Linked DNA regions of Drosophila melanogaster. Changing the gene in region 2 together with the main gene of any one other region gives a genetic interaction. Each region holds a gene or a part of one and is shown on either strand. Other genes may lie near its edges.

Evidence for each region. Genes that interact genetically often act in the same process or in processes that back each other up.
Region 1: of numb (region 2) and aurA, changing one suppresses a phenotype caused by changing the other (phenotypic suppression), as found in Drosophila melanogaster (2 studies listed by BioGRID).

Annotation. Positions count from the first base shown.
Region 1 is NT_033777.3:11,961,243-11,964,999, reverse strand, and holds aurA (aurora A), read right to left. Parts: upstream 1,877-3,757; 5' UTR 1,709-1,876; coding exon 1,595-1,708; intron 1,531-1,594; coding exon 1,230-1,530; intron 1,168-1,229; coding exon 347-1,167; 3' UTR 174-346; downstream 1-173. Other genes in the region: CG3281 (uncharacterized protein), read left to right, coding at 2,288-2,443, 2,497-3,757.
Region 2 is NT_033779.5:9,447,835-9,451,591, forward strand, and holds the start of numb (numb), read left to right. Parts: upstream 1-1,995; 5' UTR 1,996-2,547; intron 2,548-2,761; 5' UTR 2,762-2,786; intron 2,787-3,757.

The DNA of each region.
Region 1 (3,757 bases), on a different chromosome or scaffold from region 2:
ATACTCTATATACTTGGTTTTCTGTGATAAAAATAAACGCTGCGCTGCATTTGGGCAATGTTGCCTGTTTTTTTTGTCGCTGCCTACACGTTTCACTTCTGCATTTGCAATTCCGTCAACCCATTTCGCTAGAGATTAGGTAGCTACATAAGATAGGAGTGTACGCTAGCATTCGAAAACACACACAAACTTTATTGCTAATGATAATAATAAACTTAATTGATAAATGTTAATTTCTCGTATCTATATAAATGAAAATTTATGATGCCATAATTAAATTACGCGGGGAGCCCTAAACTAAAAATGTAATTAAAAGGAATTAACTGAAAATTAAACAAGAATGTGTTCACTGCGTGTGCGCCAGGATCCAAGGATGCACCATCACCTGATCCAGCGGTAGGCGGTGCTGCGGATTAAGGACCAGCAGCTTGGAAATGAGATGGGATGCTGCCTTGGAAATGTGCTCCGGCAGTTTGTAGTCCACCTTGAGAATCTTCTTGTAGGTCTCGTCATAGTTCTTCGAGTAGAAGGGAGCGTGGCCCACTAGCAGCTCAAAGCAGAGCACACCCAGGCTCCATAGATCCACGTTTTTCGTGTGCGGCTTGCCCTGAACCATTTCGGGTGGCAAGTAGTCGACAGTGCCGCACAGTGTCATGCGCATGGAGTTCGGCTCGTGCACGGACCAACCGAAGTCGGCGATCTTCAGGACGCCCTTGTGCCCGAGCAGCAAGTTCTCCGGCTTGATGTCCCTGTGTATGATGTCCCGCTCATGCAGATAGAGCAGCGCCGAGCACAACGCCTGAATATAGGTGGCCGACTGGCGTTCATCGAAACGTTTCATCGGCTGTGCCTGCAAGGCGTTGAAAAGCGTTCCTTGTGGCGCATACTCCAAGATCAGATATATGCGCACGTCGTCGTGAAAGTAGGCATACAGACGCAGGATATGCGGATGACGTAGGTGCGATTGTATCTCGATCTCACGACGCACCTGGTGCTCCACATTGGACTCGCCAATCTGGCGCTTAAAGAGCACTTTTAGGGCCACCACGAACTGGGATTCCTTTTCCCGCGCCAAATAAACGTTGCCAAACTTGCCCCGTCCCAGCAGGCGACCAATATCAAAGTTGTTGAGCTCCCAGGTCTTCTTCGGCTTCTGGGGCTGGGTTTCTGCAGAAAATTACAATTGAGTTTGGTAATTGCAAAAGATTACAGCTGAACCATTAACCCACCAGTCTTGGTTTTCTCTTTTTCAGCGGAGCTGCTGGCCGCACCCAGTTCCTTGGAGGATTCAGAGCTCGCAGCAGTGGGTTTCTGCTTGGAAAGTGACTCAGGCTTCTTGATAGGTGCTACTGGAGCCGGAGCAGCAAACTCTGATGTGGTCTTCTTCACGGACGGCACCATGGGTTTTTGGAAGTTGTTTCCTTCGGAGGAAGCTATGGAATTGGAGCCTCCTAGGCCTGGCTTCCTGATCAAAGCGCCAGAGGATCCTGGCAAGGGTTTGCTAGCTGGAGCCATATTCTCGCTGTTGGGCTGTATCACAATGGTACCAAATAAGAGTTTCAGCTGCACTCCAGAGATTTACCACTTAACGTACCTTCTTTCCCAATAGCAAGTTCTTTTGCATATTGTGCACTGCAGCTGATTTTTCTGGCATTCTGTGCGGAGCATTTTCCTTGGGACGCAGCACATGGTCAGACGGATGGGACATGACGGCACAGGCACTCGACAACTAACAGAACAGATTACAATTTTGGTCAGTTAACAATGAAAGCCGATATTGGGTAAAACATTCACGACTCCCGGGATCCTGTGAAAATAAAATGCCGTTCGTTTGAATTGTGAAGCGGGCGTGTGCGTGATGAGGCGAATGGCAAGTGTGCGATACTATCGGTTGGTTGAAGAATATCGTGACTTTGTAGTGTTAGAAAATGTTATATTGTGTATTATTTCAATTTGAAATCAAGAGAATTATTGAATAGTGCTCTAAACTTTGGCATTTATGTTATTTTAACCTTAATTTCTATCTCTATACAAATACATCTATCAAAGCGTCTTAATTTTGAAAATATGTTAATTCGTCGCACTTTATTTTGATTAACCGGACGATAGACTATCGGAAGATATTTATAAATATCGTTAATTGTGTACATCTCAATTCCAATATTTTTTATTTCTGGTGACTGTGAACCAGAACAGCTGTGATTTTATCGGGCATCTCTGAACATCAGGTGTTATTAACAAGCAAAGTTTTTATTGGAATTCGTCGTTTATGATATGATGCCGAATCATGGACACACCGGAGATCCACGTAAATATAAGCTCGCAGACTTGCCGCGTCTGCCTGGAGACGCACGAGACCAATCTGTATGTCCACGATGAAATCAAATACAACGACCTTAAGTTGGAGCTCTGGCAGTTGTTGGAGGCAGTTTCCAAATTGAAGGTAAAGAGCTACAATTTCAAGAAACTTCGAAAAATAAGTTCAATTATTTCCAGTGGACATGGACGGACCCAAATCTGCCTATGCATCTGTGTCAAAATTGCGCCCGCCGGCTGATCGGCGCCTATGAGTTCATCGTCGAAGTGGAAAACGCCCATGAAACTTTACAGAATCTCTTCGAGCAACAGGAAGTTGCTGCCAAGCCGGATGAAGTTCATGTGGATGTCGTGGAGCTTATAGACCAAGACGATGTGGTCAGTATGGCACAATACCTGTCCACGTCTTTTGCCGAACAGCACGTGGAAATGGAGGAGAAGTATGGAGACCAAGACTGTTCAGCTTTTACTTCAGATGTGGGCGAAGAGCCACTCTATGCGAGCGAGGATCGTGATGATGAGCCTGAAGACTCCTTTCAGCTGAAGCCTCGGCCAGATGAAATAGAAAACAGAGAATTGTCGCGACCTTCCCAGCTGGGCAGTCGTTTGAACCATTCGGCGAACTTCATCTACAAGTGCGCCGTCTGTCCGCGTGTCTTTGCCAAAAGTGAATCTCTGACTCGTCATTTTTCCCAAGCCCACAAACTGACAGCGGACGTGGCCGCCATGAAGCTGGCCAACGAGAGCTGCGGCACCGGTCTGCTAACCTGTGAGCACTGTCCGCGGACATTCAAGCGTCAGGACACACTCCGGCGACACATGCAGGCATTCCATCCCGACGCAATCGCATTGGAACCCGAAGAAACGACGGACAATTCCGCCCGAAAACGCATAGCTAAGCGGCGAGACTGTCCGCACTGTGGCCTGAGCTTTCCCGTATCTAGCCTTACCATCCACATTCGGCGACATACGGGCGATAATCCGTACAAGTGCGATCAATGCGAGAAGGCCTTTCCGCGCAGCCAAGATCTTAGTCTTCACATGCGTCAGCACACCGGCGAGCGTCCCAGTGAGTGCAAGATCTGCTCCAAGAAGTTTATTTCGCAGAACAAGCTGGCGCGACACATGCGATTGCACACGGGTCAAAGGCCGTACTCCTGCAAAATGTGCAGCAAGAGCTTTGTGCAGTCCAACGACCTTAAGATCCATATGCGGCGCCACACGGGCGAGCGACCATATCAGTGTGGAGTGTGCGGCGAGAGCTTTGTGTGCGGTTCGCACCTGAATATCCATCGTAACCGAAAGGGACATCTGATTGCTGTGATTCCGGGCAATGAAGTAGAGGCAAATTTTGCTGCTGATCCTTATGTAAATGCTAGGGTCAACCAGCGCCGTTCGGAGGATATAGAGCGTATGCGCCTGCAACGCATTCCCGAAAACC
Region 2 (3,757 bases):
CACGGAAAAAGGCATAACCGTCTTTAATTTTAACGTAATGGAGTCAAATGATAATGGACATAAGCTTTATATAACTAACATCTTCTCGTGTTTTGAGTAAATCAATTCATAAGTATGCACTTATTATGGTTAATTTTGATTTTATTACTTTTTGAATAACTTATCCCAAGCTCGAAAAAGTTTGAAAATTTTATGTCATCTTTTAATGAAATTTGGAAATATTTGTATTATTAAATGATAGCAATAAGAATTTACATTTTTTCTGAGTGCAAGTCTGCTTTTTTCATCAGTTGCAGCACTTTGTTTTTTCTGCATTTAAATTGCGATAATGTTGGCGCGATTGGGTGCCATGTGTAGGTAGCAATGGTTTGCTCCCAATAGTTTTGATACCATTCTTTTTACTACCTGATTTTATGGGCTACCTGGATTAAAGTCGCTGCTGCATTGCAATTTTTCGCACGTTTCATTGCTGAAAACTCTCTTATTATCTATATGTATGACTGTCTCACGCGCACATTTGGGTATTTATCTTTCGGAGTTATCTATGTTTCTCTTAGGGTACAATTTTCTCTTAAAGAGCGAACGACCTTGCATCGCGCGCTCTTTTGTTCTACGGTTTCGATCGATCATTTTGCCATTGTTGTCACGGAATTTAGGTTGGGCAACTAATTCAAATCGATAAGTTCAATACATTGATTACCGAGCCTTGATTATTGTTCAGTTAATCAGTTTTTATTCTTTTCATTTGTTTTGTATGTCCGTTGGGATTTCATAACCACCTAGCCATCTTTTGCATTTTGTTAATAGCTAAGTCTTTGGTAACTCTCTTTGATGACTCTCTTGAGTGCCATAATCATTTCCATTCAAACCAAACCACTCGCTCTTCATACTCCATGTGGAAAAAACTGGCAGCTGCAGAACCAACGAAACCAACTGGTTTTGAATGCCCTTCTATCACTTCAATGGGGTATCTCAAATCCTGATTTCGAAGACAAAAAAATTTTCGGGATTAGTAATTTTTATTACGCAAGTTTTTAAAGATAACATCCTTAAAACTTGTAATTTTTACACCCGTGCAAAATTCATAATTTATTTTACAAAGTTTCCAAGAATTTGAGCGCTGCTAAAGAAAGACGACTAAAGACAATTCCGAACTTTAAATCCAAGGCGTATGGGTTAGCGATAAATCTGAGAGCCAGAGATATTACAAAACAATAAGAGGACCTTTTTGAACTACCCGGCTTTGTAATTATCTTAGCACTGGCCCATTTGGGAAATTCCCAGAGTTAAATAATAAAATTGAGCTCGTGTTTTCCAAGAATTTTCTCAACTTATCCCAACCGCAAATCTTTTAAGCCACGGTCACCAAATCGCGATCTCTAAATGCAGCGCATCTGAGATTATACCTGGCCGAGATACCTTAAACGCCACTCTCGCTCGCTCAACTTCTGCTATCTCACTCCCACTCTTGAAAACCTACAAGCTGCAGAAACGCGTCGCAGTTTTATCATTATCACAACAAATACAAACGCAGCAGAGCGGAGGTGAGATGGAAGAAGCAAAACGACGTCGTCGTTGGTAGTAAATAAACACAATGGAACTGAGCAAATCCACAAACGTACTGGTGCACTGAAAAAATCACTTTAAAGTTTTAAGAGGACTTAACAACTTGTAATATAATAAATAAAATAAAACACTATGATAATAATGGCTTAATAGGTTGTATTAAAAGCGCGTAATAGAATAAGGCAATACCCTTTGATGACGACCTTTTCCAAATCGATAGAAAAGTAGTAAGATCACTCTTCCCTCAAAGTGATCTTAACACCACATTTAGTTGAAATCAGGGCCAATTTGTTCGATTTTTCTCAGTGCACACACACACAGGCCGAAACACCCTGTAACAGCTGTCGCTCTCTTCCGCTCTTTGCACGCTCGCACTCTTTCCTCTCGACTCAAACAGCGCTGAGCGTGCGGCCAGAGTCAGCCAGTACAGTAGAGCAATTTGAGCCGCCGCATCGAGCTAACCGCTTACCGCTTGCCGGACAAACGCGTTCCGTTTTCCCTCCGCTTCCATTCGCTTTCGGCCCACTGTCGTCGTCGGTTGTCCAAATGTCCGCGTAGGGATAGTGTAACCTTTTTCCAATTTCCGGGGGGGTCATAGTAAAAAAGTTAACACCTAAGTAGTCCAGGCCTTTTGGGCCAAGCCGATCCCAGCCATCCATTTACCGGGCACCGGGCTCTTAACACGGGGATCGTTTTAATCGGTGTCGCGTTGTCGTTATTTCGGTTTTTCGCGATTTTCCCCACATTCCGTGTGCTGTGTGCTGTGCGAGGTGTTCTTGGAATTAATAAATAGTTAAAACCGAAACGTTGGCAAAAATCCACTGAATGAGCAAGAAAGTTATATAAGGCCCGAACCGGATTTATTTATTAATTATACATACGAATGTGATCAAAACAAAAACAGACTGACAACAAAACTCGGCTTTTTGGAATATACCAAAAAAAGCAACTCAAATACAAACCGATCCCGATATATATATGGTAAATGTTTAAAACCAAAAAAAAAAAAAAAACAGTAACAACAGCCAAAGTTGAGCTTAACTTGAGCTTCGGATTTAAAGCCAAGTCAAAACGAGTTTATTGTGGTGCAAAATCAGATTTGCATATACATATGCAATTCTTTTACAGCTTTACGCTAGTTGTTGCTGCTTTGACATTTGTAAAAACATAATATTCATTTTTGTAATAATTCCAGTTTTTGACGTCTTCAATATGCATTGGTATAGAAAACTAAAAACAGCTGTTCAAACTATGTAACACTATACTAGACTTTGCTTCGCAATAAGCTAAAGTATTCAAAATACGTTTTGGGGCATTAATTTTAATAATCAGGGGGAGTATATCCATTAAGGTTATAGCGATACCAGTAATTTAGAATGAATTACCCAGCTAAAAAACTCAATAAATCTTTGCAGTTTGCACTTGAACATAGCAATTGTTGAGAGAGGGTTAACAAATGAAATATATAAACACAATTAGCAATTAGCTGATTTTGGCTGGATCACATGAACGCACATACATACATACGCACATACGTACATATATATCTAAAAAGTTACGATTGACTGGATTCTACTGGTCTCCAGTCTCTCACGTTTCCGAAGATGAATCATTTGGCATGACTACAACTCTTCGAATCGATCGTATATAAAGACTATTTAGACTATTTCAAATATAGTCCCACATTTCAGTTTAAAATCCAATGAATTTCTGCCGAAGCATGCACATATTCTTACCACAAACTCTTCTCCCAGCTCTTTTGTAAAGTTAATTTATTTTAATGTATACTGTGTGCCAAATTATTTGACTGTCAACTGCATAAATTACTGCGATAACAAACAAAACGAAGAAAAAAAAGAAAAGTGGCAAAGGCAAAATGGAAAATGGGGAAAATTTCCCATTGAAATGAGTAATGAATTGGTTTGGGGCGGCTGAGAACGAAACCAACCGAGAGTGGGTGAAAATATATTATAATAACAGTGTAATTAAATGCCAACTTGGCCCCCGCTTTCGCCAGAAGAGAGTTTTTTGCAGCCGCAAACTATGGGATACTTTTGCTTTGCATAATTATGCTGTTCAACTTGATTTACTCGGAATGTTCTTCAAGATCTTGAGTTTCCACCAAAAGGGCTCCCTGATTTATGCTGCACTTTTTTCTTTTTTTTTTGGTAGCAATGCTTTGCAGCCTGGT